Arabidopsis thaliana: one gene and its partner. The protein of the gene in region 2 purifies or fractionates together with the protein of the main gene of each other region. This does not show direct contact. Each region holds a gene or a part of one and is shown on either strand. Other genes may lie near its edges.

Region 1 (5,403 bases), 1.3 Mb from region 2:
AACTTTACGAAACAGCAAGTCGTTCCGTCTTTTGTTAATCCACAACGCTTTTATTTTTTTGGAATTATTTATTGCTCAAAACATTTTATTATCTTGGTTAACGGTCATCACTCGTTTCCAGCTAATTTTAATTATACATGACATCATAAAAAGCAGCCGTCGGTTATATACAAATATTGAAATAAGAGTTTACTTGGTCAAAATTTTAAAATTTGACGTCACCGGAAAATTCGCCGGAGTTTCGTCACCCCCATAAAACTCCTCACCGGTGAAAGAAAGAAAAAGACGTCTCTATCATGGTGGCGCCGGCAAGACGTCATTAAATACAAAGGGTCCATGTTGCTCTGCTCATACAAAATCTTATTATACGTATGCAATATTTTATTTTCTCTGCTCTCCAATACAAATCCTTATAGGTAGATAAGGTTGGCAACTAGTGGAAAAAAGAAAATTTGAATAGCAAGCTAACAAGAAATATTTATATTTAAGTTTTATGAAAGGATTGGTACGGATCTTATATTCGGATATTTATATAAGCATGTCGTATGTAACATATACTAAAAAGAACTATTGGCATAGATCAGATCATATGAATATTATTGAGTTTTAAATTCAACTTCATCAATTGTCCGGGGAAACACAGGAAAATATCAACAAAAAGTTTCATTGAAAATGATGAATAATACTGACCAAAGCCAATCTGCGTCTCTCTCAATATGTCCTCTTAAAGACTATTTTCAGAATCAGTCACGAGAAAGGGTCATTTGGTCAAACACCAACCCATCCTTTACTTCCAAGGCGGAGAGATCTTTTAAATGAAATGAATATGAAATGAAGAAACTTACTCGTTCCTTCTCTTTTACTTCTTAGGCTCCAAGTTCATTTCTTGAAGGTTAAGCAACAGATCGTTGGAGCTCAGGTAAACCTTGTTAGCAGATTGTGCAATGGTCTGTGCAATCTCTCTCGCAGCTTCAATCTTTCTCAGAGTGATGAATGCCTGATTGTTCGCAATTGCTTGTCCGATAAGCTGAGCACTTTTAGCTTCTCCCTGCACAAAGATTCAAAAAGAGCTAATGCTTCAGGCCAAAACCACTAATCTCATGTCATTAGATTTGCAATCAAGATCACCAATGCTATACCTGCGCACGGATAACCGCACTTCTCCTGTCTTGTTCGGCTTTCTCCACAATGAACTTAGCCCGTTCAGCTTCCTGAGCAGCAACTTGTTTTGCCTCGATAGCTGCGGTGAACTCTTTGCCGAATGTCAGAGTCGTGATGGAGACATCATCAAGAGCAATGTCAAAGTTAGAAGCCCGCTCTGTCAGAATCTTGCGTATCTCTCTGCTCACAGCCTAGAGGAGAGAGTAAACAGAGTCCACCATTAGAAACAAAAGAGCAGAAAAGTTGTAGAAAAAGAATGTTGAGATACGTACTTCTCTCTGGGTAATGAGCTGGCTTGCATTGTACTGAGCTACCACTGCTTTTAGGGTTTCATGGATGATGGAAGGAAGAACCCTTTCGCTGTAGTTCTCGCCAAGGGTTCGGTAAATCTGAGGCAAACGGTCACCCATGGGACGTGTGAGAACCCTTAATCCAATTTTCACCTGTGCAACACCCAAGAAAAATATCAGAAACACAGCAACTCCTTTAAGAAAGAAAATGGAGACTAAGTTCTTTCTTGCTCTACCTAAGTCTACTGAAAGCAAGTGTAACTTGTCTCTTGTTTTTCCACTTATCCATACACTCACACAGTTCATATAAGGATCAACATTGATCGTGTAATATCCTAAAAGAGTAAGTGATATTTAATCTACAGCTCCATAACCTCAAACCACACCCAAAATTTTCTAAAACATGCTCTTAATGCTGCATTGAAGGGTCTTAACATAACGTCAAAAGAAGGAATATCTAGTATGATCTATATAGCACCACATTCAGTAACATCATTTAAAATTAAATCCCTGGGCTAAATATTGTACAAACACACACAGAAAAGAAGCCAAAAGAAGAAGAAACCAAAACGCACCATCTGAAGATCATGACTACCAGTGGTGCTCTCTACAAGGTAAGGTCGTGCACGAACGTCATAGATGATTGGCCTTTCAAACCATGGCACCATAAAATGTGTGCCTTCTGGGTACACCTGAAAACACAAATCCAAGTAAAAGTAACGCTTTCTTAGAATTCAAAGCCTCAGATATAAAAGTACATCTTGTTAGTTTGAGAAATACAAACCTTTTCCTTGATACCAGTTAATCGGTTGAACATGACAGCACGGTGTCCTCCATCGACATTGTAGAGACTATTAGTAAGGGCATAGACACCGAGCCCACCAATAACGCTGACCTTAAGAAGGGCAGAGAGAGCAGGAGCTCCAGGAATGTTGGGAACTTTGTTGAAACTCATTTCCTGATAGCAAAACAGAATTCAAACCGCAATGAGATACCCAGGAGAAACAGTTCACAGCTAAGAACTTTATATGTAGCAAACTAAAACGCCGCAGGGATAAATTCGTTTGTCAGCAGATTAAAAACATCATTATACGAAGATCCAAAGGACTTAACACCGCATAAGAAATCACACACATAGAACAATCAATGCACAAGCCTCCATTTCAGAAGAAACAAAAAATCCAAGAGAGCAAACAAAGAAGTAGTGTTACTAAGAGAATCAATTGACATGGCAAAAACTGGAGAGAAAAACGAATTCGAAAAGATCGCATAGAAAAGCGTCAGAAATTGAAAGCATCGGTAGCAGATCCCAAGGCTAAAATCGATCAAGCCTTTGAACATTATCAACTAGATACAGTACCCATAGATCGTCGAATATATATGACGAGCAAGTCAACAAGCTTTCAACAAGAAAAGATCCACGAGATTTCACCAAATGATCATTCCAACTCTAAATCACACAAGGATTAGCAAATTGACCGACGATCAGGCACTGTGTGACTATCGACAACCAAACAGAGCATACAACGAAACACAGTGAAAACTGGGAGGAAAAAGCAGATAGATAAACCTGAGCTCAGCTCTTAATCGACGGCGATGGTAGGATTTATGAAAGATCACGATCGGAGCTGCCGGCGAAGCTTAGGGTTTTAGAAATGAGAAATCGGTCAGATATGCATTGGCAAACTACCTTCTAGTATGTTCGTGCCTATTTGCTTAGGCCCATTACTTTCAAATATGGTTCATTAAACACATTATCTTTTTCGAGAGGCCCATTTTAGGCATTTAGTTATGTTTTTGTTTTCCGTCCTCAAGTGTTTGACAAATTTTAAAGACATTGCTCAGGCCCATTATTTTAAAATATGTTTCACTAAGCCCATTATCACATGGGCTAAGGACGATGAATTATAATTTAATGGCAACTGGGTAGTTATTATCATGTTTATTTTAAAGCGTGTTACAGTAAAACGATTATCTGAACACTTTATTATTATGAATACTATCTATACTGCTGGTCAGAATTAAATAATACTACTAATCTATGTCTAGTAATCGCATGTGATGGCTAGTTTTTCGGATCGGCTACCGATCCTTCGATCCATTTTTCACGTAGCTAGAGTTAAAATGTCGTGAATGGAACTTGCAATTAAAACAGAAAACAAATAAGCATCTCATCAATTGTATACGTACTTTAGTAATTAAGTTAACAAAATATTTTGTTCACATCACAAATTTGTTGTTTTGGGTTCGCCAAGAAAAGAGTTATCCACTTCGACAGGCACAATTGACAACTATAGACGACGTATGTTATTAAAAATCTCACATTTTATTTCACGGAACTTAATCAACAAATTTCATATTTATACCTCACATCGCAGGATAAAATCAATAGAAAGCAAAACAAATCTTTGCTATTAAATTTTCAAAAGAGAAATTTCAAACATAAGACAATAAGTCCAAGACCAAACCCTAGTCCGACTTTCTTCTCACCGGAGCCTGACTTATCCGACGGTGACGCTGCCTTCTTAGTGGAGCCGGAGTCATCGGTAACCCCACCGGATTTAGATTTAGGGGCAGGAGCAATCGGCGAAAGCTTGTGCTCTCCGAACATCTCACCGGGCAACAAAACCATGTCGACAACATAAACTGCGAGAGGACGTTGTTGCCTCAACGAATTGCTAATACGTGTCTCCACATAACCAGTAGAGACATTGATTTGGTTTGTTTGGCCGGTGAAGTTAAGCCCGTAAACACCGTTGTCTCGGCCAGAAGCTTGAGTCCTAACCGGGTTACTCACGGAGAGGAGATCATCCATACTGTAATATTTGGGGCTAACGTGGTAGAGAATGAGTTTAACTTGATCGTCAGGGCTTAACTGGTTTAGGGTTCCGGGTTTAAGGTTTTGAAAAGCATTGTCTGTTGGTGCGAACACCGTCATACCTTCGGATGAACTATTGACTTGAATGTTCACTTGACTACCGACTTGAGTGATGTTTAGAAGATGGATGAAAGTAGTGAATTGACCACCTTTTTCGAGGATCGCAGTGAGGTTGATGGGACCAGCAGGCTCTGGAGCGGGGGCTGCCGGCTGAGCCGTTGCCTTGGTTGCGAGTAGTACGGCTGCGATGAGGAGGAGAGGAGCTAGAGTTAGACGAGTGGTAGCCATTATTGGTTTGCTTAGTTAAAGTGTGAAGAGTGATTTGGAAAGTGAGATCGGAAGGGAATGGTTTATATGGAAGTTGAATGTTTGGAGTGATGAGTTGTATCTTGTTGGAATGAGATGGCCAAGTCAATACAAAACGTTTGTAGACAAATAATGTCTAGACTAGAGATATATCATTAACATAAATGTTGTGTAGATGAATTCATATACGAATATATCAGCCGTTAAGATTCGTTTAGTATTTAAAATTAGCATATGAGAAAAATATTAGATTAGAATATGAGGTTGGTGGAACCGTAGGTAGAGCCCACATCACATGTAATGGGATCGAGAGAGTCAATAATTTACATAAAATATGTGTGGAAGATAATGTTCGACAACACAACTTACGGTGTAAGGTGGACGTAAATCGGGATAGGAATTTAGGGAATGAAATGGAGAAAATTGAAAAATCCTTGGACATAAAACCTTCTACATTTGGTATTGCTACAAGCCTACACCTAGATAGGTCCTATTAAATCAGAACTTTTTTTTTATAGATAGTATCATCACTATATCATCATTAGAAGTTAACTGAGAATAGAATACAAAACTTTACAGCATAAATGACTTACAAATAATGTAATTAACGTAATCCGCAATATACATACAATTGATGCATTCATACATATAGATGCGTAGACATGTAGCATGTAATGTATGTTAGAAGAATATATGATGTGTGTGTTTTTGTAAAAAAGAACAAAATGAGTGGACAGGCTGACTAAGTGACAGCTGGGAACACACAAG
Region 2 (5,196 bases):
GATTAGAAAATTACTTTAGTACTAGGAAAAAAAATTCTATACACCTGAGTTAAAAAAAAAATCAAATGAAGTTAGCTGTATAAAATAAAGTTGTTTTCATGACAGAAAAGCTAAATATTTCATGTTTTCTTGAAAACATTCTATAATTGTTTTTGTCCCCTAGTAGTTTTAAGAGATAAAGAAAGAATCTACATATATCATGTACAAAAAAGATATGAAAAATGATCAGTGTATATAATTCATTATTTTTTACTACATTAATTAATTTGAGTTTTAGTCTTAAATTTTATGTTATAATCATGGTTAAGCAGTTTTCAACAAACTTCGAAGGTTAATTTCCTTCTCAATTATTTTCTTGTATTTCAGTCCATTGAGTTGTATGAATATTTCTTTACCATATATTACTATGAAATTTTATATTTGATTCGATTACATATGTTTCAAGATAATTCAGTATAGACCGTAAGACGTGGGTAACCCGTAATCGCATATATTATATGCACACACTACGTTTTGGTGTTATACAAGGACGACGTTGTTAACATAAATCAACCGTCACATGAGTGAGAGAGCACAATAAATTTTATCAATAAAACTGACATAGTGGGACAGGAATCACAATGAAATTTGTAGAGGAATCACAATGGAATACTATTTTATCAATAAGAGTAAAGCATTTTCACAAAATGCAAGATATATATTTTGGAATCATGCCTACGGCTAAATATATAAGATCCAATTGAAAGAAGAGGGGGGACTCAAGTATTCCGCTTAAACACTGTGCCTTGAATAAAACTACTTGTAAATGACAAATTACATCTTTTGGTTAGACGAAACTGAACGTTTTTTATAAGATGGAAATTATCTTTCATTGGTATAGTGGTTGATGTTAATATAAGAGACATTGTCTCTAATTTGTCTAGAAACGTCTAAATTCAAGGAGCGGACTTGTCTCTCAAACAATTTAATGAATCAGTGGTCTACAATTCTAAGAGTTTTTAAAATTTTTGAAAACATTAATATATTTTTGTAAGAGGGCCATTTGGGAGTGTTTGGAGAGAAAGGAGCAGAGAGGGACGGGGGTAAAGTGTTTCTTACGATAAATAATTTGAAATCGGGGCCAAGAGTAGACAGCTTTGGTCTAATAATATTCCACTTGTTTTTTTCACTTATGTTTTCAAAAAATTATGGCTTTCTCGAAATTAACTCACTCCATTAATTACACTAAATAAACATTGTGTTGTACTTTCTACCATTTTTTTCAATTGGTAAACTGTCATGTTAGTTCATCCTCTAAAAGTCAGTCACAATCTAATTTCTAGTGTTGACGTCACCATGTTAATCACAGAGATGATCATGTTTTCTAGTATGTATATATGAGTACACACATTGTTACTTGTGAAGAGGAATGATAGATTTTGGTGTCGAAATTGCTTGATTTATGAGGGTCAAAGTGACCGTTGTTCCAAGTTTGGCTGGTTTATGTGGTCGGATTATAACGTTAAACGCATTTGCGTGGTTGGAAGCATTTATGTGCATGGTTATTAGGACAAGTTGTTTGTTTTGCTCTTGCGTTAGTTAAACAATCAAACATTTGAATTTTTGTACTTAACAAAGGGACAACAAAAGTTTCAAATCTAGACTCCTTTCTTTAACGATATTTGTTCATGGAAAAACATGTTTTTCAATAATCGTGAAATCTTCAATTGGCTCTAATACCATTTCAATTTTCAATAATCGTGAAATCTTCATTAAAGTGAAATGTGATACATGATTAAGCTTAAATACAAAGAAAACTTAACCAAAGATACTAACCAAACTAAACCATAACTAAAATTATATATATACACTCTAATAATGTTAAAAGATTATAGCATCCACAATTCAACAAAAATGTTTTACCCCCACCCACTATATCATTGAATTATGGACCGTCGCACTCTTCTCCGGTCGTGGTGAACCGGCTTTCAACAGATTAATGTGTTTTCGACTATAAGGTATGCAAAAATTTGCTCCATATGATCAAAGTGACCAAGCAGATTTTGAATCAGTATTGGTCCTCGGACTAGATATGTATACCACACAACTTTAAGCCAGGACTTGAAGACTTTCTTTAAGAGTTTCCATCCCTCGTTATGCCATATTAACCCACATAGCTTTCAATTTATTCTTGGAGAGAAAATAACTAGTGTAGCGGTTATGAAAACTTAAAACGCGTCCATGACTACAAATAATACAAAGACCATTTCTATATTAAATATAGAAAAACACTTATATTTTTCCCAACCTGACAGAAAACAAACAAAACAAAAAAGGAATAATTAACATCAAAAGTTCAAAACCAAACTAGTTCAACATAAAGTTCATACAAACATTGTTCTGCGTATCCTACATGACTACATCCAAAAAAAGAAGCCGAAACACTAAATATATATACACACACACCAACGGGACAATATAAGTCACAGAGGAGTCACAATCTAATACACACACACCAACGGGACAATATAAGTCAAAGAGGAGTCACAATCTAAGCGCAACTAGGTTGCCGCTTGGGAGGCTGCTACCACCGAGAAGAACAAGTCTAGATCCGGCGGCTGAAAATATCCCTTCTTCGGTGGTTCCCTCTTCTTCCCAAAGCCTAGTAGCGATCTCTTCCTTCTCACCGGAGGTGGACAAGGCGGATATGCTGGTATCCGGCAATCATCACGTGTAGGCGTCGTGCATCCCATCTGATAATCATCATCAACCGTCACCGTATCTCCGTCGTCGTAGTTTTTCTCCTCCATTTTTGTCCGCTCTCTCGCACTTTCCTAATAAGGTTCTTAATTAGATTGCTTCTTTATTACACTAGTTTTGGAAGTGACCGTAGCTTGTTCTGGAAGTTGCTAGGTACTTGCGGTCTAGAAACTTACACGTGGAGGAACGTACTGCCACGTGCTAAAGCGTAGTTATATTCAGGTGGGAATAGTTGCCACACATACCCCACTCGAGTCAAATGCTCGTTTATAATGTGGCTTAGTTAAAACGAAGCCCATTAAGCTAAACAAGGGCCCGAATTTACTGGAGCTAAGGCCATTAACCACGTTAAAGATTTGCGAAATAAATAACCGGTTGGTTTTTAGTTGAAAGACTAAACCGGTTGAAATAATCCACGGAACAACAACATATGTTGGAGTCTGGAACGCGTTGATGTCTTGGTTCCCAAGCAGCTCAAAAGTGTGACATAAATTGTTGTCCTCAACAAACACCATAAAAATCACAAATTTCGTTCTGGGCTCTTTATTTTTTTCAATCACCACATTTTCACTTGTTAAAATTTTGTTACTTTGCTCTATCTGAAACCAAAGCTGCCATCTTTCTCCTTTTGGGTTTTGATTAGATCTCCGATTTTGGGTTTCTATATATTATGCGAGCTCACTTTTGTTCGTTCTGATTATCTGACAATGATATTCTCCAAGCTTGGTTCTTCCCTCGCTCGATCCTCACGTTCTAAGGTTCGTTTCGTTGTGATGCTTTTTTTCCGACGCTTGTTAATTTTGTGTTTAATTTCCTATTTTTTTCAATTTTCCGGTGAAATTAGGGATTTGTGTACGGCGGTGGTGTGAGATCGGCGGTATTTAACCAAGGGAGGTTACGAGCGCCGCAGAATCTCGAGGCGGCCGTCAATCAGGTGGATGGTGGATTAGGGTTTTTGAGGCGGCACTTTGCTTCTTTTGCTGCTCGAAAGGGACTAGAAGCCGGTGATTTAAGCCGTGCTTTCGCTAACCCTAGATTGCGTCGGTTCTTTTCTAGTCAAACCCCAAAGAAGAAGAGTATGTAGCAAACCCTAAATTTTTATACGGATCAAATTAGGTGTTCACAGTAATTTGAGAGAGAATTGGAAGCCTAAATTGCTTTTCTTTTGCAGATTATGAGAACTACTATCCAAAAGACAGTAAGAAAGCACCCAAGAATGAGCAGAAATCTGAATCCAGAGGTGACGGTTTATGTAACATTCTCGTATTTTTGGATGTCGAATCCATTTGGTACTATGGAAAAGAAATTGAGTAGACTAGTTGATACATTTGAGAGTTTCGGGAATCATTTTATCGTCTTATTGAATTGATAATTAGGCACACAATTGTAGGATTGTTGACAACTATTCATTTTGAAAGGATTGTGAAAGTTTGTTTGAAGATTGTAGTAATTGAATATGTATTTGTTGCGATGCAGATGGTTCAAAGAAAAATGAAAACGAAAATGCTGGGGACGCGTTCTCAAATGAATATCAAAATATGTTAATTCCTCTTATGGCCATTGCTTTAATCCTTTCTACTTTCTCTCTTGGTTCCCGAGAACAGCAACAGGCAAGCATGTCCAACTATACTCTGTGTATCATGTTATCTATATAACTGCAGACGTGTGGGCCTGAGGAATGTCAACTAATTATCCGTGTTATATTTGTTGGTTCAGATTAGTTTCCAGGAGTTCAAAAACAAGCTCCTCGAGGCTGGTTTAGTGGATCACATAGATGTTTCCAATAAAGAAGTCGCAAAAGTCTATGTGAGGAGTTCACCAAAAAGCCAAACAACGGAAGAAGTTGTTCAAGGTCCTGGTAATGGAGTTCCTGCTAAAGGACGTGGTGGTCAGTATAAGTACTACTTTAATATTGGTAGTGTTGAATCATTTGAGGAGAAACTAGAAGAGGCCCAAGAAGCTATAGGCGTTAATTCTCATGACTTTGTTCCTGTCACCTACGTCAGTGAAACTATCTGGTACCAGGAACTATTGAGATTTGCACCGACTTTACTTCTCGTGGCTACGCTAATTTTTGGGGCAAGACGGATGCAAGGTGGACTGGGAGGTTTAGGCGGACCTGGTGGGAAGGCTGGCCGTGGAATTTTCAATATAGGGAAAGCTCAAATAACGAGAGCAGATAAAAACTCCAAGAATAAGGTCAGCATTTCAATCAGGGTGGAGAAGTTGAATTACCATCTTCATTTCCAATTCATGATGCTATTGAGATTTACTACTGATCTATTTTGTTTTTTGCCAGATATATTTTAAAGATGTTGCGGGATGCGAGGAGGCTAAACAAGAAATTATGGAATTTGTGCATTTCCTTCAGAACCCAAAGAAATATGAAGATTTGGGAGCTAAAATCCCAAAAGGTGCGCTTTTAGTTGGCCCACCCGGGACTGGAAAGACCCTTCT

The links.
Region 1: the proteins of ftsh10 (region 2) and PHB2 purify together in Arabidopsis thaliana (affinity purification with mass spectrometry, with the first as the bait; one study listed by BioGRID). This does not show direct contact.

What each region holds. Positions count from the first base shown.
Region 1 is NC_003070.9:978,752-984,154, forward strand, and holds PHB2 (prohibitin 2), read right to left. Parts: upstream 3,252-5,403; 5' UTR 3,022-3,251; exon of another isoform or gene 2,812-3,021; intron 2,410-2,811; 5' UTR 2,407-2,409; coding exon 2,236-2,406; exon of another isoform or gene 2,144-2,235; coding exon 2,027-2,143; intron 1,605-2,026; coding exon 1,434-1,604; intron 1,353-1,433; coding exon 1,140-1,352; intron 1,049-1,139; coding exon 860-1,048; 3' UTR 556-859; downstream 1-555. Other genes in the region: FLA9 (FASCICLIN-like arabinoogalactan 9), read right to left, coding at 3,874-4,617. UniProt on the Arabidopsis thaliana protein: Prohibitin probably acts as a holdase/unfoldase for the stabilization of newly synthesized mitochondrial proteins.
Region 2 is NC_003070.9:2,302,243-2,307,438, forward strand, and holds the start of ftsh10 (FTSH protease 10), read left to right. Parts: upstream 1-2,192; 5' UTR 2,193-2,540; coding exon of another isoform or gene 2,541-2,789; 5' UTR 2,790-3,446; coding exon 3,447-3,497; intron 3,498-3,583; coding exon 3,584-3,815; intron 3,816-3,910; coding exon 3,911-3,979; intron 3,980-4,215; coding exon 4,216-4,349; intron 4,350-4,455; coding exon 4,456-4,938; intron 4,939-5,038; coding exon 5,039-5,196. Other genes in the region: AT1G07500 (uncharacterized protein), read right to left, coding at 2,541-2,789. UniProt on the Arabidopsis thaliana protein: Probable ATP-dependent zinc metallopeptidase. Involved in the assembly and/or stability of the complexes I and V of the mitochondrial oxidative phosphorylation system.